4 linked regions of the Schizosaccharomyces pombe genome follow. Changing the gene in region 2 together with the main gene of any one other region gives a genetic interaction. Each region holds a gene or a part of one and is shown on either strand. Other genes may lie near its edges.

Region 1 (6,266 bases), on a different chromosome or scaffold from region 2:
GCTACTTGGCATACCATATCCAACACCATACTCAATATCCGCAGGACGAGGGTACTTCAGTGATACTTTCACGACATAGTTGATAAATTCATTCACTACTTGACCCCCAAATTGCATGAATGTGTCCAGTTCCCTACCAGTAAACATCACTGTAAGGTAAATGATGCCAATAATCTGGGGAATTAAAGAAAACAACCCCAAAGTGCTTCTCCACATGTCATCAATGTGGTAGAAAAAGTGAGAAAATATAGTAATAAAAGCAAGGTTCGCAAATGATTTAGGTCCTTTTTCCTCCGAAACATTAGAAGCAGCGACAAACTCGGAAATGTAAGGATAGACTTCTTCAGAGTCTTCAGGAGTTACAATGCTTCTTTTCCTCATAGTAAGTTCTTTGAAATTTCTTTTTTCGGGGAACAAGGACTTTCCATGTAAATAATCAACCGTTCCATCAATGGCTGAAACTAATGGACTAACAAAGTATGTTGATAAGAAGTTGGAAGGTCTTGTAGATTCTTCTAGCTCAGTCTTTTCTTCTTTCTCATCTTTAAAATATTTCAAAACAAGAGCGTCAAAATCCCCCCATCTCATTTGCAAGTGCCTGCCAGGAAAACTGATGGTTTCCAGTTTCCCCTGGTTAACTAAATCCTTCAAGCCAAGGCTTTCGTAAAGAACAAAATCTTCCATTTCAATGTTTTCTCCTGTCGTTTCATTAATCCAACCAAATCCAGTCGAATATGGTGGCTCTACAATATCGTCACGTTCAAACGACACGGCAACCAAATTGTCCAACTCTTTCAACTTTTCGATATTTCTAGTGTAGTTGTCATGTAGTACTTCGTTGTTTAAATGAGTCAAAAACTTGTTGTTTTCCAAATACTTGTCATATTGCTTCTCCGTGCGGTAGTACTGTGCTTGCACGACGTGATTTTGTATCCATGAATGCCATATACCCAGTCCAAGAATTGAATGAACAACAGCCTTACAAATCAAATTAGTAGGAGAGCAACCTGGTATTGTATTGATTCCTGAATGCGGAGAACCCAATGTAATAAGTGAGCGAATTTTTGCCGCATCGCATGTCTGGGCTAAAGCTCTCAAAAACAATCCTCCTTGGCTTAATCCAAGCGCATAAAATCCGTTGGAAAGGGAATCTTCATTTCCTATCAAATCACAGACTTCATCCAATTGATCCTCTAGCTTACCTAAGTAGCCAGCTTTTATGTCTTCAAATTCGTTGTCACCGACGCGGATAGCATATACCGCACCTTTAGTTAGTTTCTGAACACGCTGGCTAACCTCTGTAAGAGTAAAACTAGTGGGAGTATCGCCCAAGCCATGCCAAATCACCACAGGTAATTGTTCAGAAGCTCCGTCATTAATAGCTAGTCGGACCTTATCCAAACTAATAATTGGTATTGCAAAACTTTTCATAGGTAAAAGAACCCAAGAGAATAGAAAAAAGATTAAAAATGAGCTACAGCTCAACATGGCGAAAATAAAGAGTGTTGAATACGGTTCAGAAAATTACCCAAGGAATTGATGAGTTACGTATTATCTAAGCTTTTATCTAAGCGAAAGTTTAAAGTTGTAATATATAAGTATGTATTAGACAATTGAAGTGTGAGATCAATTACAAAAATTGAAACAGAACTTTGCACAGGTATTTTTCAAGATGAAATTTGTATACTTCATCTACTTTTTGGATATTTTTAAATTCTCAAAAGGCAGTGTCTGGATTTGCAGAAATTGTGAACGATCTTTTTATCTGAAATGTTTGGAATAGAAAATAACCCTAAGAGATTAAAAAAATGCATATGACAACACTCAAATGGTTCAATTCTATGATTTATTTATTATTAAAATTACCATCCTAAAATTGAATCCTGGTATCACCATAAAATTATTCAGTTGTGGGCCTTTCTCATGTACTAAGCATGGTAAATTATCATTAATAAAGAAGTGAAAATACATATCTTCTTGTGCAGCAGAATTTAAATTATAATGAACGTAAAAATTGCTGAAATAATGAAGCAATGTATAGTATAAATAATTAAAAGATATTATCATCCTATATCTACTAGTTTAATAAGAAAAAAAATAAGAGAGTTTCACTTTAAAAGATTGAAAGGAAAGCTTTCAGGAAATGTTTGGCGTTTATAATCGCAAAAATTAATTAGTTAATAAGAATATGCAAAATGATAGAATTATTAGGAAAATATGAATTTATTAGATGTTTAATGTTTTCTTATGATAGCTCAATTTGACGAAATGTCTGTTTCATTAGACAAAAAAAAATGCAAAAAATATTTTAATTAACAGACAAATTGGCGTGAAGGTCATAGCGTCTCTATTCCTTACTTAAATAACTAATTTACTAAAATCATGTTGTAGTGTAGGAGTTCGCTACTTTCAGAAATTAAACGACGAACACTCCGAAGGTTAAACAATCATTTTATTTTAGAAATGAGTAATTTCATAACTCTTTTACAATAGCACGCAGGACTGTCATAATTTACAAATTCAATAACTGCGAACATTTCCATGATAATTTCGAGCTGCAATTGCTGAATTAAAATTATTTTATTTTAATTGATTTACAGTATACAACATGATAAAATGCGTTACTTAAAAGGAATCGCTTAACTTCAGCATACTTGCACCTTGCAGGTAAAGCCAGGCCTTCACAAACCCAGCACCATTTTAGCTGCTAAAATGGCAGAAAATGAGAATCATGTACTTTCAATACGAATGTCACACCCATACTATTCAGAAAAAGAAATAAGTCGAATTTTGTCGACGCGAGATCCCAAAGAAAATAATTTGCGAATGCAGGCGTTCGCTTGGATATCAACACTTTCAAAAACTTTAAAATTGTATGCTTTTCCTCAAAATTATCTAGAATCTAACTTTTTTTTAGCCCTGTAAGGACCAGCGGCCTTGCAATGCTTTTATACAGTCGTTTCCAACTATTTTTTCCCGTGAATGAAATTCCTTTGCTGGTATGTTATTTGGATGTCTTTCGCACATGAGTATGCTGTGCTATTTGAAATTTTACGTATTCTGATATAAGAATATTCTGAATGCTGTACATTGGTCATACTATTAAAAAAGACTACAGTTTTTAATAATGTTAGCTCAGCTACTCCAAGTTATAAACATCATATTCTCTTGATTTAGGCTCTTTTTCTTTCAAAAATAACTAACACATTTAGGAGTGCGCTACTGCTTGCTTAGTAGTTGCTAGTAAAATCGAAGATACGGCCAAAAAGTTTCGTGATATTCTTTTAGCACATTATCTTCAAAAGCATCCAGGTTCTGAGGTCGATGCTCATTCACAAGTATGTTACAAGGTGCGCAATAATTGTTTTTTGTTTATAAGGAGACTTGCTTACAGGTGTATTAGCTAATCGAAGAGAACAAGAAGAGGATTCTAGGTTTAGAAAGAATGACACTGGAATTGATTTGTTTCGATTTTCGAGTCCGACATCCACACAATTACATGGTAAAATTTGCAAAATCACTGAAATGTATGACTGCTATTCATTTTACCTTATAATTTTCGAGTTAACTAATTTACTTTCAGTTTCATCTTCCACGGCAAGTATAGCTTGGAATGTCTGCACTGATGCTTATAAAACATACACAATGTTAAAATATCCAGCCCATATTGTTGCCGTCGCATCGATTTCTATTGCTTGCAAGTTACAGCAACTTCCTCAACCTATAATTCCCAGATCGTTCTTCGCTCCACCAGCACTAACGGAAGCAGTGATTGCGGATATACTCGATCTATATATGCATTATCAGCCTCACACTTGCATTGGTAATATGTATACAACGGAAAAATTACTTGGATTATGTGTTGACTTCCAACGAGCCCAAAAAAACTCTGGCCGTCCTCAAAAACCACCCCAAATTGACCCTCATTCTTCTTCTTTAGCAGATGAATACCGTGAGTCAAATAAGAGACTTCAAGAATCCAAAGAAAGTTGTGCCAGATTTATTTTAGACTGCGATAGAAAGTATTTTAATACCGAATTTGAAAAACGAATGCTGGAAGAAAGGAGAAATAAAGGTACGGTTTAATCTAATGGTTCCTTAATGAGTTATCTTACCATCGGTTTGTTCCTTCTTTCGACAGCATTCTGAACAGTATATTAATATGTGACATTACAAGTTACCAATTTCCAATTAACTTCCTTTTGAATGACAAAACTTTATTTTATGCGTTTTCTAAACATAATATGATTTAAAAAGCAGCTGACCTAAACCCTGCTATATCTTAAATATTCATTAAGTAAAAGGAAATTTCGTTCAAATTTCAGTGCAGTAAATGTTGATCAAAAGAAGGAATCGTGATAATCATACGTAACCCATTTCAGAGTGAAAGGTGTCATGCTTTTTTAAAGCAATCACGCTAATGGTGGGAAATTAAAAAAGGGACGATATCGCAAAAAAAAACTATATATAAAAAAAAATCATTTACTAGCGCTTCAAAACCAATATCAAGGTAAACACTAACGAATTTCAGTAGCCCATCCGGGTACATCTTCACCGGTTGCTCCAGTAGTCTCGATTTTGAACGTAGGATCAGCCACTTCGCGCAACCATGGAGAATTGCTCATGTAACCAGCATTGGTTCGCTTGGCAGGATCAAAACATAACATAGGAGATAAAAAGTCTGATATTTGTTGAGCCAACTCGGCTGAAAAATGGTATTTTTGCTCCAAAACATCTTTTAAAGGCCAAAACTTCAATTTATGAATATTTCGGAGTTCACCGCGACGGTTAAATAAATCGCGGGAGTGCTTTCCTGAAAGTGCCATTTGCTTAGGATAATTAACCAATAACTCAATAATTTGGGCAATGTGGTCATCCTCCTTAGAATAAGAATTCCCATTCCGTGGATCGAAAAGGTAATCGCCGGTTAGCAATTCAAAAATGATACAGGCAAAACTCCAGCAATCAGCGGAAGCTCCCCAGCGACATCCTAGAATTACTTCTGGAGACCTATACTGACGGGTTTGCACATCGTTGGTGAAATGCTTCCGTGTCCAGCACGCGTTACCGAGATCGGCAATTTTAACAGTGATTTTTGGAACGGGTTCCTGAGAACCGTTAACACCATCAAGTATAAGAGAATTATCTCCACTAGAAAACGGAGAATTAGGATGAGAATTATGCTTTTGAGAGTCACGAAGGCTGATTTCTGAAACAGCACCTTCTAATGAAGGAAAGCGGCTCAAAGTGGAAGTAAAAGGACTGCTAGGAATGACCTGGCCAGCAGGCTTAGAATTCTTAGTTGGATTTTTTGCAAATGTCTTGCGTTCTTGGGCAGAGTTATCTACAGATTGGCCACGTTTAATAATTGGAGCTTTGGCTGTATAACCAGTGTTATTTCTTGTTTTTGAAGAAGAGGTATTAGAAGTGGGGGAGGAAGTTGTTGCAGGTGCCTCAATATGTTGCAAGGCATCCTGATCAATGCATATTAAAACATTTTCGGGTTTAAGATCAGTATGAATGATCCCGCATTCTCGATGCAAGTAATCCAGAGCGATGAGTAATTGGTAGGCAATTTGCTTTACAATACCCACAGGTACTCCTCGATGGCCGTATGACTGTATCAAACTTAAAAGATTCTCACCGAGAACTTCGAATACCATACAGACATGAGCTCCATTAGGACCACGATGCACAAAATAATCGAGCAAAGAAATGATATGCTTTTTGCCCAAATGCTTTTCGTCCCCTTCTCTAATTTTCTGCAAAATGCGAATTTCATCAATTGAGGTCTCTCGATAGTGCTCTGCTGAACGCACCACCTTCAAAGCTACTCTCCGTTTGGCAGCTCGATCATATGCAAGCCAAACCGTTGAAAAATGTCCCCAGCCTAATTTTCTTTCAACGACATATCGACGGTGATGAAATTCTTCACCAATGTAGACTGGGTGGTATCCACCATAGTGATAGTCCTCTGCATTTTCTTCGTGCGTTTTTACCTTTTCCACCATGCTTTTTCCGTCTACTTCAGCATTGACCTTTTTATTAACATTTTTTCCATTCGTGATCACCTTTTCACTGACATGGTCAACTATTTCAGTGTGTCCCGGTTGTGACACTTTCGGTGACAAACTCGACCCGTCACTTCCCATTTCAAAATGGCTGGCTGCCCCGTATGAAGAAACTACTGATATGTCCCTCCAGCTCTTAAATTAAAATATCTGAGATATGTGAATACACCAATTCCTTCGTTGTTGTTGTTGTTT
Region 2 (8,962 bases):
ACTCGGAAAGCGCATCATTCTCTGTAGTCGCTTCTATATTTTGTTTAGTTGACTTTTTCTTTTGATTTTTACGATTCCTTTTCTTCTTCTTCTTTGATAAAGCACTGCTGACACCTATAGTATCAGTTGAGGGCCTTGAAACTTCGGGAACGTCATTTTTTGTCTCTACTGTTTTATCATCTTTCAAACTGGAAATAACCTCCTGCTCAATGGATTGTGCACTTTCCAACGAATTAATCTTCTCTTCAAGTTCCGAGCATCTTTGTATTGACTTTTCTAGCTCATCTTTTTTCTGTAGAATTAAACTGTTTTGATTACTTATTTCAGAGTTCAGCTTTTCAATTTGATCCTCGAACTGATGTTTTAAATTCTCCCGATCAGTCTGTAAATCATTCACTTCATGCGATAATCTCCTAACTTCGCTAACTGTCATTTCATAACGATGCTCTAAATTCTCCATAAATTCACGGAATCCTTCTAAGTCTTGAATACTTGACAACGGAGTTTTCTCCTGTAGAAGCTTTTGAAACGCTACAACGTTATTTTGTAGTTCATTCAATTTTTGTACGACGGAGTCCATATTTTTCGCGTCCTCTTCATTTTGAGAGAGCTTATTAGAAGATTTATTATTTCTTCTTAATTGATCTTCTTCTTGAAACTGCCTACGTCGATTCTTAGCTTCTTCCTGGCCTTGGGCCAGTGTCATGTTCAATTGATCTTTTAATCTTCCCAGCATTTTGATTGATAACCAAGAAAGAAAGTACCCATAGATTAAATCGTATAATGTTATTTAATCTTATACGTGCTTGGAAATATTAGTTGTTAGATATTGTAATTGACTGGGTATGGCACAATATTCTAGTGTTAACATTCTGCCACTTTAGCGTACTCTATTCTACTGCACCCTGTTAGATGGATTAACCCTTTAACTGAATGTATCGCTATCTCACAATATCAAATGCTTGTGTACCGTATTAGTATAGCAAAATTAAGCATAAACTATGAAATTGCCCATATAAATTGATTGAAGATAATTTTATATTCGATGGAATTGAAACCGAGATTACCCAATCTATTATTAATAATAAAAATTCACCACAAGGCCTGATCCGAAAACATTTAGAAGATTTGAAAACTCTTCAAGCAATAAACAGTGAATGTTTTTTAACAAGTTTATTTGTAAGTCCAAAATGATACAAGGAATTAATAGCAAGAAGATATACTCTCAGCAAAGCAACGCTAGCTGATTTTAAGCTCGTATATTTCAATAAGAGATACATTTTTGTACGATAACTGCTATCTTATGTGACTTTAGTAGCATGTTACTTAAGAGAGAAGATTTTCTAGCAGTACAATTGAAATTATCTGATTAAATAGTTGTGTTAAGGGGAATTTAATTGTCCTTAACTCGTTATTTGCATAAATTATAAAATTAAACATTTTTTTCAATGTGGCATTTATTAAACAGGTCTCAAGTAAGAGTATGTATTTTGAATAAAACATATCGATACTCAGAGTGAAGTTGACCATCTTGTCAAAATACAAGTTAATTTTAGCACGTTCACTATAACTAGATCTTTGTCACATAAAATTTGAGGCAATCATAAATTTAGCATTGAGCCGTCATTGATCATAATAAACTTATGGCATAAAAATTCGTATACAAAAAATGATCAATCATTATTAATAATTAAATCGAATAAGTATACTTTCGTAAAACGTTCCCATTTGGAAACATAAATTAACATCATATATTTGAAGTGAATATAATTTACACAAGCAGGCAAATTCTTGCAATTTGTAAAACATCCGAAGTTTTTGGAGCAATCATAATATACTTTGGAATTGAACAAAAATAAAATATAGAAAAGAAAGGGTAAGCAAAGCGATAGGTAAACATAAACAATACAGGATCTCTTTCGTAATCAACATTTGCTTGCAGTTGGAGGAAACAAGCCTATTTGTTGGGCACTAGCAATAGATCTTAGTTTACGACGTGCATTATTGGGAGCAGGGAAAGGCTCTTCCATTCCTCTATTAGGTCCATGGCTTACAAATATTTTCGGGCGGTAAGCAGGGTTCTCGTCCATAACACACGAGTTTCGGAATTTTTCAATCAGCCTGTCTTTGCCTTGAATATTAGCATAGCTGATATCGCATATTTTTTCAGAGTGAAAGACGTTCCATTGAGTACCCACTCTAGCTTTGCCAAAGGTAATGATAGATTGAGGTTCAATAAAGTTTATAAACGCATATCCTACATTGCATTTATTAACAAAATCTATCCGTAAATAAAGAAAATCATAGGTACCCTTGTTGGTAACATCAATGTAATCCCTTAGCATTTGCTGGGTAAATTTATTCGGGATATTTTTTATCATTACCGTGGTTCTTGTGTCAATTCCAGACGCAATTTGTGCATAATCGACAGAATTTCTATCTGAAGCATGTTTTTCAACAGTAGGAGTATATCTTTGGAGATTCAAGTCCGGATTCAGAGAAGAAGCAGATAGTGTAGAATCTGCTTTTGAGTCGTGTAGAGTAAGTGAGGCAAAACTTAAATTTGTAGGATTACTACATGATGCATTTGCACCAACAGTTAAACTTCTCCTCATACCAAGAGAACCTGTTGGTGAATCAAAGACTTTACCAGTATTAGAGGAAAAAGGTGACCATTGTGGATTAATTCCGTTCAGTAAATCACTATTCCTTTGCTTAAGACGTGAGGAATTTGGCGGTGCAATAGGATTTACATCTAAACCATACCTTATCGAATTATACTGCCTGGAAGGATTTCGATCACTGGGAGCAACAGGGCTAGTTGAAGAGACATCGTAATATCCGCTTGTTCCCCAAGCTGGAGATGATTCAGTGCGTCCTAAGGGAACGGATCCAAAGTTATTCGACATTCCATAACTCGAACCAATTCTTGAAACAGCACAACTAGCAGCAGTGGGAGTTTCTTGGTTAGAAGACATTGTCATAGAGTTGTTCCATTCAGAATTGTTATTTAACATCCCACTAAATCCTCTTGGAACAGAGAGGCTAGAGGCCGAAGAGGTGCTAACTGAATCAGCCATTGCATCGTAATAAGCGACTTGAAGGCAGCAATTATGAATAATTCTTCCATCCAATTCATCTAATGCAAAAGATGCATCTCTTGTATCATAGAATTCGCAAATAATTTGTGAAACATTTTGACTTCTTAAAGGCTTCATAATAAGAAGTGGACCGAACGTCTGAAGTATAGATTGCAGTTGAAGGATGCTCAGAACAGAACCTCCCTGCATATTTAAGAGAAGTTGACCTTCATTATCGTCAAGGAATTGAATAGTAGCACCTTGATTAATCATTTTTTGAATGCTGCTTCTTTGGCAGAATTGGAAATACAGTAATCTATCATTAAAAAATCTCTGAGATCGCAGTGATTTAGCGGCCTGTATTGCTTGCCTAATATCGAAAAAAGCAACAATGCATATACCATCCGTAGACAATGAAGATGTATCAATTCCTTTCACATCTCCAAGTTTTGAAAAAAGCTCCAATAAAGTAGCATAAGGAACAATACGAGGAAGGTTAGTAACGAACAAGTAACGAGAAGCATGAGAAAATATATCTATATCGTCAGAATTAGAGTTAAGCGAGGAAGAACGAAATCCGGTAACAGATGGTTTACGAGTTAGTGCCTGAGCTGCTTGCTCAGAACTTGAAATGTAACTTTGAATGCCATTTTGCGGAGGGGATTCTGAGAGAACAGAAATGTTTTGTTGCCATGTACTAAGAGGTTGTCGATCAGCTGACAATAAAACATTACCTGTAGTGAATACTTTCCGTTCACCAACTCGACAAGCATCAATAGGATTTAAAGGAGCGGTTGAAAACTGATAGTTGTTTTCGTTATTAACAAAGTTGGGGAAGATATTTTGAGTATCCGTAAGATAATCAATTGAGTTTGATTCACTAGATTTGGTAGCAGATAGTTGAATATTTCTGATGGGTGAAGGACCACTCAAAAGTAAAGTACTCTTGGGAGGGTAATGCTCGTTAGTAGAGAGTAATGGTGAGTCAAGAAGACTTGAGGGCAAAGCATGCATTGTTTTCTCCATATCAACTTGAAAAGTTGAATCAGATGGAGAAGGGGAGGTGATTGATAAAGGTGATTCGGTTTCCATAATCATTTATGTGTTAAAACGGCAACAATAAAGCTGGCCGATAATCCTTAAAATAGATAAAGAGTAAAAAAAATTACTTAATGACTAATAACTTATAAAACTTTGTTTAGAAGTGGTAAGAAAGGGAGAGAAAGGAACTGCAAAGGATTAAGTTAATACAAACTTTAAAAGACCAGAAAGTTGAAAAGAAAGGAAGGGGTTAGATGGTTGTTAGTAAATCAAACAAACGATGAGAAAATGCAAAAGAACAAAAGAATAATGAAATGAAAAGAAAAAATCAACAATAAATCACAATTGTCGTTCAAATGTATATAATCAAACGAAAAGAATAACAACCAAGATTTGAACAAACAAACTTGTCTTTCATAAAATTAACAAAAGAATAACAAACGTTAGAGGAGGAGAAATTTTCGGGATAAAACTAGGAAACTACCCTTTAATTTTTTTAAAAAAAAAAGAAAAAGATGGGATATTGTCACCACAGAAGAAAAGCGCAAGTAAAAATTTAAAATAATCGATTAGAAACTTTACACATATATACAAGAAAAAATGTATATGCGTATATGAAGAGAAAATGGATTGGAATCGTATATATATAAATGTATATATACGTATCAGTTAGGTTGCAAAAAAAGGAATTAAAAAGTGAAGCACACGAAAAAAGGGGAAGAAAGGAATCGATTCTAGGACAAAGAAGAGAAAAAGATATCAGGGAATGACAATAACGATTCAAGAAAAATTGGTAAAGATCAAAATGAGGATTCAAGAATACAGCCAGAAAATGTAGATAATGTGGTAAAAGATATAATTTGAACTTTCTTTGCGAATGCCTACTATGGGCTATTTTCAACAAGGAATGGGAAAGCGATGGTTGGTCTCGGAGTGGGCACAAGTAATTAATAAACAAACAAACAAAGAAAAGAGAAGTAGCAACTGCGTTCAAAGGTAACAAAGATGCGGGTGGGGATTTTAAGAAGGAAAGAAATGAATTAGATAAATAAACGTATCAATGTTTTGTTACGGTCGATAGGTTTATTGGCGCGGATGATGGCAGCTGTGTGTCCTATTAAGATGGAAAATGCGAACGGTAAGAGAAACAATTGGCAAGGATGGAGTAATGGAAAAGAAGTAAATGCACGATGTATAAAAACTTAAGTTTTTTCCATATGGTTTTTCAACTAACTAGAGGTGTAAAAAAAAAAAAAAAAAAAAAAAAAGCAATTTCCCTTTCCTTTTTTAAAATGGGGTATATATTTTTTGCTTTCTCTATTACAAAGGAACGTTAAGTTTCAGACAAACAAAATATACGACAGCCTAAATGGCAGCAGCGAAACAAAACAAAAACGATGCAATGCAATGCGATGCTTTTCAGTACAAATCAAAAAGCCAGCCCAAAATAGTTCTGTAAAGATAATTACAACAATCTGTCCGGCCGGATTGCTGGAGGAAGGATGGATTGTATGTTGGGAATAATGAGAGGGCTTGGATGCTTTATAATGAGATACAGTAATTAGAGAACAAAGAAGTTATTTCAAAGAAATCACAAAGTCAAAAAGGACTTTATTTGCTCGCAAATATTACGACAATTACTGGGAGAATGCTTGATTGAATGGGACGTACTGTTTATGCTACCCCTGCCTTTGTCCCGTGTAACACAAAGTGGGAAGAGTAACAAAGAAACGAAGTAAGCCAAGTAAACAAAGAATCTCAACAGCAGCTTTCAGTGGCGAAAACAAAGCGTTGAAAACAAAGGGAATCAACGAAATTTATAGACCTACGATGAAAATTTCAGTAGCCTTTACTGTTAGGCATTTACTGTGAACGTTTTTGCAATGCCCCTGAGGGGCTAGCTCGAGAAGGGTTTGTAAAACAAAGAAACTTTAAAATAGGAACAAAGAAATCGGTCGGCTTTCGTTACTCTATCTAAAGTTATGATGCGATGTCAGTAAGCTCTAATATAAGAGGACGATAATGGAAAAAAAATCCCATAAAAAGCGGGACAACTGATCCAATTTGGACAGATTGAAAGCCAACGCGACTCGCGTTAGATAGAGTAAATAGCGAGAAACGCTAAATGCATTTTCTTTTATGGTGTTTGCTTTGTCTACTGAAGCAAAAGGCTATTTATTCAAATCAGTGGTAATTAGTGTATAGCTTGTAAAGGTAAGTTAGTCCTTTTGAAAGTTTGAAAAAGATGATAGATAAAAAACAACGTTGTATCCATCCCGAAAAACATGGACAAGTCAAAGAAATCACATTTTTTATTTGCCTTCATTAGTGTAGTAATCTCCACCTTGCTGTATAATTCGGTAAGGATTTCTTTTGTTATTTACGCGTGCTTTTTTCCATACATCTTTTTTCGCCAATGCAAAACCCTCTTTTAACAGTGTTTCTTCTTTCAACCCTTATTCAGCGCATGCGTCTCCTATATTTGCGCGTTTTACACAGAGGTCGTTTGACATCCAGATTGTTCTCTGGCATGAAAGATAACTACATCATTTAATATTAGCAACTTGCTCACTTTCTTTTCTTTTCACATAAACTATAAAGCTGTTCGGCAATTAAAATTCCCCACTGAAATCCAATTAGCCAACGATCAAACTAGATCGCATTTATTGAGTGATTTGAAAACAATGCTTTATGCGCAAAAGTGGAGAAGGTAAATGTAGACAACCTCACGTTTTTGTTTATAAACATTAGTAAACGCCGCATTCGATTTTAATGTATCACGTATAAATCGGTAAATATGTGTGTACCACGGTTGTAGAAGTGCTCGAAGACAAGTAAGAAGGAAGCATTAATAACTTTTGGCAATTAAAAAGAGGTTGGGAATTCAGAACAAAAAAAGAGTAAAAGCGATATATTTATTCTATTCCAAAAGATTTGTATGCATGTATAAGAGATTTTAAGGCTGATGATGGTTTTTGATTATACTTTGGGTTTACATTATTTTTGTTTTGTTCTGTTTTGTTTGTTTTGTTTTGCTTTCGTATACACTCTATTTTTTTTTAAACGTAAAATGATCATTAGCGATGTTGCTTCAGTAAAGCGAGAGTCAGTGAACAATGGTTAGATTAAAGCTTTGCTGAGTAAATATTTTTTGGCTTTCTTATTAAAGGTCTTATAAGAAACATATGTGTATTTTTTGTTTTATTGCTTAGCCAGTTTACTATTTTTGGGACAATGCGTTTCGTAAACGTTTATGATGTTTGATGTACGTGACGAATTGTTCAAAAGTTAAATTTTGAGGTTTAAAAAAAATGAAGGCCTGAGAAACCGCTTCTATCTCTATGGTTGTTTATATCACCAACAAATGTCAATTGAGAATTTGAGGAAAGAACAGAAACCTAAGAGGAATCTTGTTCTTAAAGGATGAAAAATCAACATGACAATTCCTTCATTTTATACATCTTGGAAGCGAAACACAAGAAGGGGTGAAAGGAAGTTGAAGAGCTTGAAAATGTCAGTCAGCAAAGGAATTCCACAATTTTTTTGATAAGTGACGTGAAAGAAACCTTTTGAGTTTGGTTTCAATGCTTCATGCTTCTCGAGAAAAGAGGCGGTCTTGGGTTTTTATAATTTTGTGTTTGAAGGTCCCATTTGATATTTGGAATGTTGCTGCAGTGAAACCTAACTGTTTACAAGTATTTTTATTTTTATTCATAAATGTCTCGTAAGCTAAGTCTCACCTTTTCTCTTATGCAAACAGGAGGTTATTTGATTATAGTTATCGAATAAATGGATGATTGATCCATGTATAAAATGATATTGTTAATGGTATTGATATCTTGTTTTAAAACATGTTTGTTACTTATAGAAGCACTATGTGTTGAAGCCAAGTCGATAAACTTTTAAAAATTAGGAAGTGTTCCATGAATAAAATATTTTAACATTAAAAAGAGCGAATGACTATTTACCCATAAAAACTGATGGATAAAATGCTACAAGACCAAACCAAGCATATTTTATTTATTTTGGAAATAAAACTAGGAAACTGTTTATACAATTAACAAATATAATTCTAATGCTCCTCTGTAGAAGAGGTTCTTTTAGCGTAGTAGCTAAATTTACTCTTTTGATGTTGTGAATAAGACAAGACGATATGATTTCGTTCTCTTTCACATACCAAAGTAAAAGGAGGTAAATTGAGTGTATTAAAACAGTTACGTTCTACACACATCACATTGATATTTTACCTAAATTTTGAAGAAAAACATTTTTTCTGGAATAAACGTTGGTTTAGAAGGTTGAAAAAATGAACACATCAGCTAGATTACTGGCGTTAGTCTCGAAATCAAAAAACAACTGGATTCTTCAACAAGGAGATACAAAACTATTTAAAAGCTTTCGTTTTAAAAACTTCATTGAAGCTTGGGGATTTATGAGCTGTGTCGCATTGCGTGCACAACAGCTAAATCATCATCCCGAATGGACTAATGTATACAATAAAGTGGATATTACGTTGACAACTCACGATACAAAGGGACTTACAGAAAAAGATTTAAAGCTGGCAGAATTTATTGATACACTTGCAAAGGATAACTGAAAGCTGCAACCAAGAGGGTAGTAGCGGAAAACTATCTTGAGACACAGATTGCCAGAAATTATTCTTAATATTTTGAATTAATTTAGTGTTTAGTGATGTGGTGTTTGAAAGGATAAGAATTTATATCATAAACTCATTAATCACCATTCAGCCAACTGGTCAAGTTGTTGAACATGTTTTGTCAGATGCTGCATAATAGCTTGCCTGTATTCTGGAATAGAACTTCTGCTGGAAGCAATTCTGG
Region 3 (9,029 bases), 3.0 Mb from region 2:
ATAAAGCAAGTCTATGCGAATGAACTAGGAGATTACTCATTTCTCCAAGTAAAAAAATTTTCTTACCCTATTAAAAGCAATAGAACTGTTTTGATTTCCAAAAGAAATTCCAATGACAGTCTTGTATTCTTCGGAATCTGCCATTATAAAATTTTCGCTGAATGGGAGAGTTTTCGTTAGCTTCAGCTGCATCAGAATTTACGACCCGAATATAAGAAAGTAATAGTACAATGCGAAAACATGAAATTGTGAATAAATAAATAAATTGGTATATTAGTATATTATTAATTATTTTTTAAGTTAAAAAAAGCTTTTTTTTCTTGACATTAAAAAACATTGATAATTACTAGCTTTTTCATAAAATGTATATAAAAGATTCAATTTTTCGATGAATGTAATATCTTAATTGTAAATTAGTGATTTTTTAAACTTCTTCAAAACCATATTAAAAATTGGTTTTACAAATATCTATAGCAGAGTTACACGGCAAAGGAGAAGACTAAGCAAAGTGGCAGGTTTAGCAAAATATGTATAATAACCAAATTAAGTGTTGCTAATAGAAAGAAAAGTCTAATCAGGTAAAGTAATCAATAATAAATTATGTTAAAACTATAGGAAAACATGGTTTAAAACTCGTTCGGCGAATCCGTATGAATCTCGTTTTTGGTGCAAGAGTATAGATTAACTCTACTATCTGTGTTATCACCACATGCAAGTAATAAATGATGCGGGTGAAACTTCAGGCACATTAAACTGGATGGTTTAGGCTGATTAAGGAACCGTGGATTTTCACGGAAGGTATTAATATTCTGGCCTAACGTGTCCCAAATTTTTATGCTTTGATTTGAGGAACCGGTTGCATAAACTGGGGCGTGACTATGCACAGTTAAAGAGGTGAGTCCAGAGTTGTCTGTTGAAAAAGTCTGTAAAGAATGATTCATCCTAATATCCCATAGCTTAACTTCACCATCTGAACTCGCCGAAATCAATTCTCGCATTCCGGAGGATTGCATTTCAACATTGACGATCTCGGACGAATGTTCTTTCCAAACATCCGTTAGTGAATCTCTTGCAGGCAATCGTTTGTCGTAAACACGAAGAACTCCATCTGAAAATCCAGCAACTATAATATTACAACCGACCAAATCGCTAGTTAAACTTGTAATACTATTACTGCTTCTTACTGGTAGGTTTGCATAGCAGATTTCTTTAGAAGCATCCCATATTCGAATAACGCGTACGTCTCCAGCAACAAGCAAGTGCCCACAGTTCTGTTGCCAACTCATTAAAAGGCTAGCATTTCGATCTCCAAAGACAAGATCACTTAGAGAATTCCACGAAGTTACCAGTTCAACCTTTTCATTTTCGTAGTCACGATACAGTTTAATTGTGCCATCAGAAGACCCAGTCATCAATAAAGCAACATCATCTTCATTTAGTAATTGCATGTCGGTCACGTTAGTTGTCGCACTTGCTGAAGTTTTGAAAGAATTGAGGCAACGATTGCGACGCCAGTCCCATACCTGAATGATATCTTTGTCACCTAATGTAATTAACTGATCTTCAAATTGGTGAAACATAAGCTTCCTAGGAGCGATAGTATTATTAAATGTCATAAGTTGTTGATTCCAACGACCGTTGGTTGAGTATTCAGCAAGGGGACGAGTACGATAAATAAGTTTTTCGTTTCTGTTTCTTCTCCACAAACGTTGATTATAGCAAATACTTCCAGGTTCATCGTCTTCGTTCGGCCGCATTTGGGGTTCGGTAAAATACTTACGAGACCAATCAAATAAGTAACTTGTAAGCGGCATGTCTAGCTCGGATTGGTATTCAAGTTCATTAAATGCAGGTGGACCAGGAACTTTGGCGGAAGTTAAGTGATTTAAATTAGACTCTGCAGGTTTGTTTTCTCCATTTAAGGAAAGTAATTCAGAAGCGCGATCACTTCCTGCCAGGCTTAAAGCCAAGCCTTTCAACGATCTAGTCAGAGAGAATGACCTGTTCAAGATTTTGTTTTCTGAAACAGAAGGAACGAAGGGATGTGGCTTCGGGTCGCTCGTAACTGAATTAGTATCGGTATCTTTGGAAAGAGAAGCTTTATGGAGAGCAGGTAAGTGTTGCAGAAGAAATGCTAAAAATGATTCTCTTAATTCAGAATTTAGCATACTCTGATAAACGTAATTTATTATGGCTTCAGCTGCAAGAGAAATTTCGATGCTTGGATCTGCAGCCAAAACCAAAACAGCTTGCCAAACTGTTTCGTAAATTGTCGAAGCACTGATAGAATTGTGGTTCTTTTTCTCAAGGATATCTGCTAAACTGCTCTCATACGCAACTACCATTAATTGCTTCTTATAATTCACTACAAAGTGAGAAAGGAATATCACTAGTTCATGTCGAACTAATGGTGACGCATCAGAAAGAGCTGCTAACGCCGCAATTGCAATATAAGTTTCAACAGCAACGACTTCTTCGGTCTTCTCAGGAAATCCCAAAAAAGTGGTAAACGCTGTTAAAACTGATGCACGAACTTCAGGAACGGAGTCAACGATGATTTCAGCTAATTTTACATGTGCATTATCACGAGTTCCAGACCATTTAGCTTCAGAGTAATTTTCCCAAAGCTGAGAAATACATAGGCAAGCCCATTGTCTTAATAAAGAGTCGGGACTATTTAAATGGGAAAGACAATGTGATAAAACCTGTGGGTTTAAACAAGCTAGCTGGCCTTGTGGGAACCCACGACAAAAAACACTGAGGATGAACGCACACATTGCTCGGTGTTCGGAAATATTACTTGAAGGAAAAATGGAAGAATTAGGGTTCAAAATTTGGACAAAATATCCATAGCCATTGTCTTTTAGTAAGTCAGCTTGACAAGAATCATCTACAGCAAGGATTCTCGCCCAAATAAATACCAACACAGGCTTTAACTCAATAGCTGGAGACTGGAGAAGTTTCAAAACGTAAGGAAATATACCAATAGAGAGCGCTAAATCTACCGCCCACACCCCGAGATCCAGAAATTTTGAGAGAAGAATTAGTGCACGCAATCGATGAACTTGTGAAAGTAATACCTGCAAAACTAGCGGTAATTGATCCGGTGGCTTTCTGCTAATTAGTCCTTGAGAGAGCCATACCTCAAAGGCAGTTAATTGCTCACTAAAAAATGTCGAATGCTTGTACTCGTAGGCTATGCCTTTGCTTTCAGCATCAAGCATATCAGGTAACTGAGATAGACAATTATCAATGGCCAAATCCCAAGAATTCCACATAGGATGATCGTGGGTAGGGGGGAGTTCAGGACTGGACTGAGGATGACAGGAATGAACGAGCATTATACGTTCCGCTAATAGAAAGTTACGAAACAGTGCTGCTACCATAAGATCTTGCCTAAATAATCTTCTGAAAAGATGCTTTGGAAAGACATTCCAAGCAATCGTATCTGTAATAGCAGTAAATATCCAGTTTAATTCGCCTAATGGAGTACGCCGATCTTGCAAGCGACCGGGAATTTTAAGAAGCATATTCAAATTAAGCTTATTAGGAAACGGGTTTTGCAAGACATACCAACGAACCGAAATTTCAATTGGGGAGGTAAGGCAAGAAGTAAACAAATCAGCTGGCAGATCTGGGTTCATCGGAAGGGTTTCTTTAGGCCCACAAGCAGCAAGTTGAATACAACTAGTATGAGAAGGCATAGCGAGCACATTGGGATTTTGCTTAGCAATACGGAGAGCTTCTTTGTCTCTCTGCTCGGCAAAACGATTAAAATTCACTATGATATTCCCAGCTGCGCTACAATCGTAAACATATATACAAGGCGCTCCAAGCCAAGATTGTAAGTCATAAAGCGATACAGGAATGTATTGAGTATAATTTTTATTGAAAACCCAGATTTCACCAGAGGCAGTAGGCATTGGGACACCATGACCATTATAATGAAAAAGGATCCGTTCCTCTTTAGCGTTTCGTCTTTGACCAATGCAAAGTTTTTTGACTTCTTCAATTGCGGGATCAAGGTAATGCCTATATCTTGTTCTCATACTTAATGTTTCATATTGTTGCTGCAAGTTCTTGCCAATGGCTTCAAGTGCTTTAGAAGCAGGTAATGAAAACGGATCAATCCAACATTCATATTTCGCTGCAGGATTAGGCTTTATAACATCAGGAGGATCCACCCCTATGTTTAAGCAAACTAACAATGCTGCAGAAACAGTTTTAAGCCGTTCGCGCATTCTCCAATCATGAATTGTTTCAGTAGGTTCGGCATTCTTTTTGCTGATCACCCCCCGATGCCGTTTATCAGTGTAATACATGTAAAAGACCTGCTCTAACATGTTTATATATTCAGCATTGTTGTACTCTTCTTCAAAACCATGTCTAGGTTGCGGGAATCCGGACTGTATCCCATCTATCATTGAACTCGCTGTATCGACACCATTCTCTGTAGCAATGTTGCTGTTCTCTGTGTATCTATCGCTTCCGGTCTCGGTTGTTCCATAGCTTAAGACTGATCTACGAGCCCTTGAGCTACCAGATACTTCACTAATTCTATCATTCATGTCGCATAGCTCAAAATCAAATACAACATTTCAAGAACTCTTCCCTATGTACAAAAGGTCGGTAAATCAGGAACTCAAGGGAAACTTAATTAACAAAACAAAAAAAAATAAGAGAAAATTAAGATGACTCTGTATGTATATACGAATTACGCAAGTGATATAGGAGAAATGTCAAAGCAATTAAACCATGTAAGTTACGAACTTTTGCAGTGTTTTATGGGCATATTTCGTTATACTGTTTAACGCTCGTAAAATACTTCAGTAATCCACTTAAGAAATATAAAATACACAACACGTTATACTTTGGTAATAATCGAAACCTCCTACTAGCTAATTATTTATCTACTACATACATCCAGTACGTTCATTTAGTTCTCTATATCTGTATTTCTGCTAAATACAAGAGACTTTTGTAAAGAAGATGAGTTATTCTAAAAAAGATGATGATGGTGGTATGTTGATTGTTTGGAATTATGAGCTGACCTTTTAACAATAGACGAATCGATATTTGCCAATGTCAATCAAGTCACAGTAACTCAAGATGCTAGGGCTTTTAATTCATCTTCCATAAGCCCTAGAAAGAGTAGACGTCTTCTTAGCAAAATCGCCTACTTGATATATACGGGAGAGCATTTCCAGGAAAAGCAAGCTACAGAACTCTTTTTTGGTATTACTAAACTTTTCCAACACAAAGACCCTAGTCTTCGCCAATTTGTTTATATTATTATCAAGGAGCTTTCCGTTGTTGCTGAAGATGTGATTATGATTACCAGTAGTATCATGAAAGACACCGCTACGGGACGTGAAACTATATACCGTCCTAATGCTATTCGCTCTTTGATTCGTGTCATTGATGCTAACACTGTCCCTGCGATTGAACGCATTTTAACTACGGGTATTGTTGACCCCATATCAGCTGTTGCCAGCGCTGCTCTTGTTTCCGCATATCATTTATATCCTGTTGCGAAAGACATTGTATCGCGTTGGAACAACGAGGTTCAAGACGCGGTCACATCTCATAATGTTGGTAGAAAAGTTGCTAGCTCTCCTTTTTTCACCTCTACCTTGGGTTACACACCAAATGCCAGCGGCATTTCTCAATATCATGCTTTAGGTCTTCTGTACCGTATTCGAAGACATGATTCGATTGCAATGAATAAGTTATTGCAGCTGCTTGTAAGCAATTTAGGAACAGTCTCAAATTCTCATGCATTTGTTATGCTTATCCGCTACATTTCTAGTCTAATGGATCAAAACACTCAATTTAGAGACCAGATGGTTCCATTTCTACATGGGTGGTTAAAAAGTAAAGGAGACATGGTAAACTTAGAAGTTGCTAGAAATATGGTCCGTCTCAAAAATATCTCAGATGATGACTTGCAACCTGTGGTTAGCGTTCTTAAAATTTTCTTGTCGTCTCACCGATCCGCTACCCGATTTTCAGCTATTCGTACGCTTAACGAGTTAGCCATGACACGTCCACACTTAGTACATTCCTGCAATCTTAATATCGAGTCTTTAATTACCGACGTGAATCGCTCCATTGCCACCTACGCTATCACAACACTTCTAAAGACTGGTAATGATGAGTCTGTCGACCGTTTGATGAAACAGATTGTTACCTTTATGTCCGATATTTCAGATAATTTCAAAATTATCGTCGTTGATGCCATTCGTTCTTTATGTCTAAAATTTCCTCGCAAGCAAGATTCAATGCTTACCTTTCTTAGTAATATACTTTGCGATGAAGGTGGTTATGAATTTAAACGTGCTGCCGTTGATGCTATTTCTGACATGATTAAATACATTCCGGAATCTAAAGAACGAGCCCTTGCCGAGTTATGTGAATTTATAGAGGATTGTGAATATCCTAAGATTGCGGTACGGATTTTATCTATTCTCGGCGAAGAAGGTCCTAAAGCCTCAGAACCAACGAGATTTATCCGCTATATTTACAATCGGATTATGCTTGAGAATGCCATCGTACGTTCCGCTGCCGTTAGCGCTTTGACCAAATTTGGATTGAATGCGGAAGATAAATTTGTCCAACGGAGTGTTAAGGTTATTCTCACAAGGTGTTTGGAAGATGCTGATGACGAGGTTCGTGATCGTGCTGCTTTTAGTGTAAAGGCGCTTGAGGATAGAGATGCATTTTTGCCAGTGGTTAAATCTGATAAAATTCCCTCATTACCTGCTTTAGAGCGTAGCCTTGTTATATATATTTCTGAAAGGAAGTTCGGACAAGGCTTTGATATCAAATCTGTGCCCGTACTATCTCAAGAAGAGATTGATGCTGAGAATTTGAGAATCAAAAAGGCCACGACAGAGGTAGAGTTTACAGAGGTTACTCCTGCTGAGGACCAAAATGCTCTTGCCAGTTCTAACATTGAAACCGAGTTTTTAAACGCATTAGAATCCGTTTCAGAATTTAATGAATATGGCCCAGTACTGAAATCATCGCCGTCACCTATTGAGCTCACTGAGCAGGAAACTGAATTTGTTGTTAAGGTCGTTAAGCATGTGTTCAAAGACCATCTTGTGGTTCAGGTAAGTATTCTTTGTTGATATTTAATTTTATAATTACAGCTGATTACTAATGCTTTTAGTTTCAACTTCATAACACTCTGTCCGAAGTTATCCTAGAAAATGCTGTCGTGGTTTCTACTCCTTCTACTGACGACCTTGTGGAAGAATGTGTCGTCCCAGCTGCCATCGTTTCAGGAGAACCAGTTTCTATCTTTGTCAGTTTTAAATTTAATGACTCGGTTCCTTACCCTCTTACTACCCTTACTAACACTCTTCAATTTACTACGAAAGAAATCGACATCCATACTGGTGAACCAGAAGAAGAGGGTTACGAAGATGAGTACAAAATTGATGACTTGGATGTCTCGGCCGGTGATTTTATTTCTCCTGCATACGAATCGAACTTTGATGGTCTTTTTGATAGTCTTGAACATGAAGCTTCTGAAGTTTACGTACTCAGTCTGCTAGATTCGTTTAGAAGCACATGCTCACGAGTAGCTGAGTTACTTCAAATGCAACCTCTCGAGGGCACAGAGAATCCTACTGACAAGCCAGTGCATGTTATGAAACTCTCCGGTAAACTTGTTAACGGAGAAAAGGTACTTGCATTGGTGAAGATGGCTCACTCAAAAGATGGCGAAGGTATTACAATTAAAGTAATAGCTCGGGGTGAGAGTGACAGCTCTGTTGAGTTGGTAGTTGGAGGAATTGCATAGATCGTGTAGATTCTGCATGGATACTTTCATTTTTACTTGAATTATATAATTTAGTAAGTACAATACAGGCATTTCTTACATTTTGGAAATACTAAAATTTAATATTGAGCCAAAATGGAACAACAAAGGACAAGTAAATAGTAATGAGAGTTAAAATATGAACTTTTTTAACTATCCTTAACGTCAATGGCATGCAAAAGCTTTTTTCATAAAAAGTGTCGATAAATTAACAAATTTGAGCAACAATCTGGATTAAATGCATAAAAACTTAAGCAGTTAATATTAAGTCATTTTGATCCGTAATATCCAACCACCGAACAAACGAATAAAACAAAGAAGGGTAACATCATTAAAGTAATACAGAAACTAAAATATAGTATAAACAAATAAAGCTTGTATGAAAACATGGGTCGTTAGCAAATATACATGGCTGAAACGGGAAATAGGAAAATGTGGCACGAATAAGTCAAAGTAGGACATTAGGTGTATCTTCAAGGATTAGAATGGCTTGGGTGGTGGAACTTCGGTATTACAGGTTGGACAAGCATGTCGATAATCAACGATCCATTTCGCAATACATGGACGATGGAACTCATGTTTACAGGGTAAAGCAACAACCTTGTCTCCCTTCGTAAAGGACTCCAAACAAATGACACATTCGACACCAAAAGTCGCTCGGCGAGTAGACTCATCCATAAGAGGGACAAGTTCTCCATTTTGGGTTGAATTCTCAATTTCTTCCTCTTCACTGTAAAAACCTTCACGAGAAATTGTACGAGAAGGGAGATCTTCAATAAATCGTCTGGTTTTAGATTTTGTTCGATATGTACGAATAAATTTACGAATGGCTAAGGCTTGCACAGTAATTAACATAATAATGGAAGGAGAGAAGCAAAGTAGGAAGGGCCAAAACATATCACCCAGTTCCTCCGGTTTTGCATATAATTTCAGTGGCTGACGATATGAATGCAGTAAGTCAGACCATAACAAATTATAAGAACTAGTAGAGACAAACAATGATGGAATATGAACTTTTGACTCGTCCACTTTATCGGGGGCAACCATATAATGTAAGCGAAATGAGGAAGGTGATCGATTGTCACCAACTATAACCCCTTTAAATCCGAGCCTTTGGGCTTCCAATGCTTTATCAAAATAGGTACACTTGCCTCTTTGAACCAAGAGAAAATCCAATATTGCTTCATCCTTTGACTCGCCC
Region 4 (6,383 bases), on a different chromosome or scaffold from region 2:
GTAAACCTACCTTCCGCCATTACCACTAATCAGCAAAACTTTTAAAGATTGATAAGAATTAACTGAAATAATTTTTATTTGAGATCTTAAAGAGTTAAGTAATAAATTTCCATAGAAATATGGATCATAAAAACTACCTGAATCATGTTATTCGTGGAATCTACAACGACTTCCAATTCCTTGTTGATGAGGGCGTAGTTGAAAGGAGTGCTTTGGATTGGGTTCACGCAAATATCCATTTACAGGACGGTCCCGCTAGTCCTGTAACTGCTCCAGCTGCTCAACCTGTTGAGTCCTCAGTACCCCTTCCCTTGCCCAAGCGGAAGAGCTCTGTGGAAAAAAGAGCAGGATCGGTAGCGTCTGCCGTAGCAGCAATGTCTTTGTCTCAAAACTCTGGAGAAAAGAGGACACCCGAGGAACCTCGTAAGCTGCCTGGAGTGCCTGCCCCACAGAAGCAAAGCGAGGCTTCAAGTGTCAATTCATCTACCGAGAAGCTTCCCCCTCCTCCCAGCTATCCTGGACCCAATACTGCCCATAAGAACGTTGAGCGGGTTTTGGCGATGTACGACTTTCCTGGCCCTGATGCTGGTGATTTAGGTTTCCATGCTGGCGAAGTTATCATTGTACTTGAGCATGTCAATAACGATTGGTGGCGTGGTGAATTGAATGGAAAGGAAGGAATCTTCCCTTCTAACTATGTGCGTTTGTTGGAAGATTCTGCCGTTAAAGCTCAACCTCCTCCTCCTCCACCACAGCAAAACTATCCCCCAGCAGCATCTTCTTCGGCACCTCCCATGCAGTATCAGCAAACAGCATATCCACCTCAGCAAGCACCATATCCACCTGTCCAAGCCTATCCTCAGGCGCCTCAACAACCCATCGTGGTTGCACAACCGACCGAGCACAAGCACTCATCAACATTCAAGAAGATTGGTAGTGGTTTGGGTTCTGCATTTGTATTCGGTGCTGGTGCAACTGCTGGCGCTGATCTCGTCAATTCCATTTTTTAAATGCGAGTTCGTTTCTTTCCTTTTTCTATGCTTTTTTTCTTCCTTTATATAAGTAAAACTTTCTGTGTGGTTGAACTAGCACCTGTGTTTGTTATCGTTGGTGCGCAGTTGTTTTTTATTTTGAAATTTCCAAGTAGAAATTTCCGTATATCGCGAATGCATTTCCCTTGTTCATGTTTACTCCTTTGGTCTTTTGTCTTTTTCTCGACTATGCTTTATGCTTATAAAGCAACACCGCGGCATAGCTGCTTCTTCATAGATTGAGACACCTCATTTATGTGTATGAATTCGATATCCAAACATTGTTGCATATTCTTTATGATTATCGATGCGTACTATTAAATACGCATGTCTCTTGACTTTTGTTTATTTTTAGTGTTTTTCTTTTTACGACTTTCATACCGTTTATATTTTAATTCCATAATAAAAAAAATAAATTACAAAGCAAAAATATGATTAATAGGGAACGAATGACAGTGTATTAGATTTGTTAATATGCTATGGTAAATTGTTCTATTGCTTAACGTATATTAAAGCAAAAAATAGTAAACGGATGAGGAAGTATAAATTAGGTAGCCTTTGTTAGAGATTTAATTACGATGTCCGGTCAGAATCGTTTCCATTAAGCAATAAAAAAGAATCGACGTGGAAATCCCATGAATGTAAAGACTCACATTATTAAAATGGGAAGATAAAGTAAAAACTGGAGACAGCGAATGTCCAACAAAAATGGAAGATGTATGAATAATGATGAATCAAATTCGGTAACACGTTGATGGGGATTCCAAGAGAAAGTAGCAGAATTTCAAAAAAAAAAGAGAACGACAATAAAAATGAACCTTTGTTTAAAAATAAAAGAAGTCAACACACAATAAAGAATAATGAGACTATGAACAGAAATGAAACTCAAGGGAGAATTGTTATAAAAAGCGTCTGAAAGCACTGGGGAATGAATGAAAGGACTAAATTTGTTTTAATTTTTTTTCTTTTTTGTTGTAAAAATGGAAAACATGAAAATAAGTATGCAAGTTCAAATATAATAGCTGTATAGTTAGGATGAAAATTTCCTATAACAGCGGTTTAATTAATAAAAATTAATGCTCGAAAGAGAATTTCTTTCAATTTTTATGTGGTGTTCATATTCCCCTTCGGCATTAGTCATTCAGGATCGAAGAAAATTAAGCTAATTTAAGCAGTTGCTTAGCGAGAGGTGTTGTTTACACGGTCGGTGATGTCAAAAGTCTCGTTAGGTCGAGGAACATGAAATAGGTCCAGGATGGTTAGTTCGTTAGTGAGGTCTGAGGGAGAAAGAACTCTTTGGACAGGCTTAATCCTATAAACCTTTTCAGTCTGAATATTTTCTTTATTTTCATGTTCAATGCGTTGTGCAGGGGTTCGGCGAACACGTTTAGTGCGTTTCATGGGAACGCTATGTACCGATCCAGCTTTGGTAGAACGGCCGCGTTTGCTTGTAGAGCTGATGAAAGTGGTACCGGCATGGTCAACAGTTTTGGTGTTAGTGTTAGTACTGGAGCTTCCAGTACTAGTTCTGGGAGAAGTTGAGCGTCTTGCCGTATTGGTGCGATTTGGTAAAGCAGAAGCGCTGCTTGCTGGGTGACGGCTGTTGGAGGTGTTTTGAGAGCTCATTGTTAGAAGTAGAAAGTGATTGTAAAAGTAGAATATAGTTTGATGTGAATTAGATAATAGAAAGAATAAGAGGATAAGAAAATGGATGCAGAAATGAGCGACTAAGCACTCATACTTATACTAACGCAGCACATTTCTTTCAAACCCATGGCTCACGGAGGTTTTTCAATTTCGTGTAAAGTATTTGATATTTGCAAATGAAACAAAAAAAACTATTAAACAAATAAAAGATTATTTTTTTGTATACAATCACAGTACAGAAAGTGAAAATGCAAAATTTAGAAAATGATAGTAAAGACCAAATGAGAAGTAAGAAACAAGTATATTTTATGTTTTCAAATGAACTACTACTATTATATTTTCTACTCTTCATTTCCAGCTTTTAATGCTTGCGAAGTGGCATGCTACGCGGCGCGACACGCTTTTCATTTAGAGAGCAGCGTAAACAAATCAAACTCGTGTTAAGTTTCGATATCATTCGTTAGATTTCCTTAAAAAATAACTCAGGCTAAACAACATTGAATTGAATAACGCAAAAAACAGTATTACAGTAATGTGTTTTTAGAGATTGCTACATTCCACAATGCAAGCTTACCACTTTGCTTTCGTGCTCGCTCAATCATTGCATGAAAGGTAGATATATCCAGCTAGGTGTTCTTCGTATTTGCGAGTAGAGTAATTAGCAGTGCACATTTATAGTATGCAAGTTAACGATTTCTTTAGTACTTCTCTATTGACGATCATGCGTTCATCTAACAGAATGGGCACATTCCAAATGTAATAGTGAACAGGAAACTTAAATTACTATACTATACTTGACATTTTACACATCGTTTTTAGAATCAAGCAACGGGATTAAAAGAGAAATCAATTCATTGTCAACTATAATTTATAACATTAGCAAACAATATCTGGACGAGCAAAGAATGGGATCCCAGACACGATTGTATGCTGTATAAACTGGGCTTCAAAAGATCGTAAAAGGTATCAGATACCACATAAAGTCAATTATAAAAAGATTAGGGAATGCCTTTGGTACCTAATCTTTTTTAGCATAGCCAACACACTCCGTAACGTCGACAGCGTCTTTGCGGTGTTTATTGCGAATGACACCCTCAAATTCTTTAGTTTCAGTCTTATATATCAAATCCCATCTGCCGATGAAATCGAATCCATTGACATTGCGAACCTTGGCTTGATATCCTCTACGTTCTTCAGGACTCATATTAACATATTTATGATATTCAGGAGCACCAGGTGTTATAATATTATCGGCCACTAGAAGGGTTCCCGGAGCAATCATATTAAGTGATTCAATAACCCTCAAGTCAGGCACATAAAGGTCCTTCCAGTGGTCGATAAATACCATGTCCAAAGCTTGAAAACCAAGGTCTTTATGCAATAATTTCTGTTGCAGTTCGACCAAACTGTCGCAAGCCTTGCCAATCATGATGGTGACTATTTCATCCAGACCGGCCAACTTAACCAACTCGTAAGCAATCTTGGCATAATCCTCATTCACTTCCAAGCTGTAATAACGACCACCAGGAATTTTGGAGATTTCATTTCCAAACAAAATAGCTGAGTAGCCCAAATAGCCGCCTAACTCAACCATGATTTTCGGCTTCCGTTCACGAATTTTCCCAACGATAAATCCACCTTTAACATCTCCTATACACATTCTCACTCCAGATCCGTCTGGATACGTGAATTCATCGATTTCCTTAAGAACCAACTCAGGATGCCCGCGAATCGCATCCAAGCGCTCTTGAGGCAGATTTTGAATGTGTTGCAGAAACAGCTGTTCCTTTTCACTACCGTTGTCTTCCATATGAGGCATGATTTCAAATTTCGAAAGGTTGGTTAAAAGTTGATTTTCAGCTCTGCATACGCAATACCATGCACTTTATATAGTTACGAGGGATGGAATGTTGCTGAATTCGATGCACCTCGTATGTTGTCACTACGCCACGCATCTTTACAAACTACCCACCGTATCATAGGACATCTAGCACATCTAGAGACCGAGGCTCGGTGAGTCAAGACCCTTATGTTACAGCAGTACCTTTATACTTTGCGCCATATGGAAACTTTGGACTTTGAGGCAACAGAATAGCAGACTACACTGCGTTGCACTGAAGGAATTGTGAAATATATTGAAACAAAACAGTGTTTCTGTAAACATAGATCCGCAAGTATATGATTTTACACTATTTGATTTTGGGTGAAACATCAACGCAATTACAACGTATCGTTATAGTTTAATAACAGACTGTATTGAATAATCGATATTGTTCGTTATGTGATAAACATTTCGAGTGCAAATGTACCGGATCTAGAAACATCAGATTCATCTGTATGTACTGCATAAATTTATTTATAATTGTTCAGCTCTTTCTCCTATTGTTAAACTATTATTATTGTTATGAAGTACATGATTTTAATTCGCTAAATTCGATCCACACCGTCAAGTTTTTATGCGTTTGCAACTCAAAAACATGGTATTTCGCTACAAACTCAAATTGGTTCCGATCAACTGGTTATTTTTTATGTTTAAGAAAACATTTCATTTTACATTTCTTTCAACTTTCCTTTACCTACTAAAACTTCAACTTAAACAAGCTTATGATTTATCAAGTTTCTTGATTTTAAAAAAATGACCCCTAAGTGACTTGAACACTTGACTTTGAGATTTGGAATCTCACACTCTACCAACTGAGTTAAGGGGCCATGTATATTCTCTAAGCAAAATAAATAATATATAACAGTTAATTTAATAAATTTTTATTTTTCTTTTATGTTACAGGATACGAGAAGCGTTTTCATAAAAGTAAATATTCCATGAGTAAAGAAGAGTGAGAGGGTTAAAAAAAAAGCTCTTACAAAATATATATCTCAGTAATAATGAAATCAAAATTTTCGTTGATTTATACTCAACATCACAGCATAAAATAGCTCAATAGACGACGTTGTAAAGACAAATACAAAACTAGGAGTTGAATTGACTGGCTATTATGAGTTGTGTCTATAGCAGTATCACTTCGTATTGCATGTCAAGTATTATCATTTTCTTTTCAGCAAAAAGGCGCTACAAGGAATTTGTTTATTACTTAGTTTTGTTTAATAAATATTTTTAGCAAAACCTTAAAGACGTAGAGCCGTTTACTCTCTTCGTAACACGACTTTCCATTCGTGTTATTCTACTTTTACTTGCACAATATTTCACTTAATCGGCAGTGTTTACGTACCTTTTTAAAAATATATGCACAAACGCTCTTGGAATAATCCAACTGGACCCATTCGGTCTTATTAAACACAAAGAAAAATTTTGTACTATTCAAAAAATCATAAAAATTATCTAAATCAAATCATACTTTATCCTCGAACATAATACAGTTTGTTTTAAAGGCAGCTTGTATCCTCAATTTTACGATGCAACTTTACTAGCTACATTATCGCCATCCCCTACTATTTATTTAAAAAACCAAAACCAAAAAAAAAAAAAAAAAACTATACAATACATTGGAGAAAACAATTCGCAAAAGAGATGAATATTTAATATCAACACAGAAACAAACTCTAGATTGCGTATTTTCTAGTCCATTCACGAGCACTTAATTCATAACGGGATCTGTCAGTTTTGTAGACGTGCGCAATTTCAGGCACAAGCGGATCATCAGGATTAGGATCTGTCAACAATGAGCAGATAGACAGTAATACCTTTGA

The links.
Region 1: of mei2 (region 2) and lsc1, a mutation in one rescues a mutant of the other (synthetic rescue), as found in Schizosaccharomyces pombe (one study listed by BioGRID).
Region 3: of mei2 (region 2) and mip1, a mutation in one rescues a mutant of the other (synthetic rescue), as found in Schizosaccharomyces pombe (one study listed by BioGRID).
Region 4: of mei2 (region 2) and mei3, a mutation in one rescues a mutant of the other (synthetic rescue), as found in Schizosaccharomyces pombe (one study listed by BioGRID).

What each region holds. Positions count from the first base shown.
Region 1 is NC_003423.3:821,662-827,927, forward strand, and holds lsc1 (Lsk1 associated cyclin), read left to right. Parts: upstream 1-2,683; 5' UTR 2,684-2,712; coding exon 2,713-2,873; intron 2,874-2,917; coding exon 2,918-2,999; intron 3,000-3,143; exon of another isoform or gene 3,144-3,212; coding exon 3,213-3,338; exon of another isoform or gene 3,339-3,403; coding exon 3,404-3,527; exon of another isoform or gene 3,528-3,583; coding exon 3,584-4,086; 3' UTR 4,087-4,209; downstream 4,210-6,266. Other genes in the region: palmitoyl protein thioesterase/ dolichol pyrophosphate phosphatase fusion protein Pdf1, read right to left, coding at 1-1,488; SR protein-specific kinase Dsk1, read right to left, coding at 4,518-6,152.
Region 2 is NC_003424.3:4,509,115-4,518,076, forward strand, and holds mei2 (RNA-binding protein Mei2), read right to left. Parts: upstream 5,912-8,962; 5' UTR 4,179-5,911; coding exon 1,926-4,178; 3' UTR 1,869-1,925; downstream 1-1,868. Other genes in the region: grp1 (GRIP domain-containing protein), read right to left, coding at 1-736; omt2 (4-alpha-hydroxytetrahydrobiopterin dehydratase), read left to right, coding at 8,428-8,718; anaphase-promoting complex subunit Apc14, read right to left, coding at 8,859-8,962. UniProt on the Schizosaccharomyces pombe protein: Crucial for commitment to meiosis but it is not sufficient itself for the commitment. May be a splicing regulator.
Region 3 is NC_003424.3:1,516,723-1,525,751, forward strand, and holds mip1 (WD repeat-containing protein), read right to left. Parts: upstream 4,721-9,029; 5' UTR 4,569-4,720; coding exon 627-4,568; 3' UTR 501-626; downstream 1-500. Other genes in the region: ssz1 (putative heat shock protein Pdr13), read right to left, coding at 67-144; coatomer gamma subunit Sec21, read left to right, coding at 4,990-5,020, 5,065-7,115, 7,175-7,810; rnf13 (RING finger protein), read right to left, coding at 8,309-9,029. UniProt on the Schizosaccharomyces pombe protein: Component of TORC1, which regulates multiple cellular processes to control cell growth in response to environmental signals. Tor2 is essential for growth. Nutrient limitation and environmental stress signals cause inactivation of TORC1.
Region 4 is NC_003423.3:716,080-722,462, reverse strand, and holds mei3 (protein Mei3), read right to left. Parts: upstream 2,745-6,383; 5' UTR 2,658-2,744; coding exon 2,211-2,657; 3' UTR 1,473-2,210; downstream 1-1,472. Other genes in the region: lsb1 (SH3 domain-containing protein), read left to right, coding at 120-1,010; cmt1 (catechol O-methyltransferase 1), read right to left, coding at 3,697-4,497; ubiquitin-conjugating enzyme Ubc4, read right to left, coding at 6,237-6,383. UniProt on the Schizosaccharomyces pombe protein: Acts as a critical meiotic inducer by binding non-covalently to protein kinase ran1/pat1 inhibiting its enzymatic activity. Inhibits ran1/pat1 by acting as a pseudosubstrate for ran1/pat1 instead of its natural substrate ste11.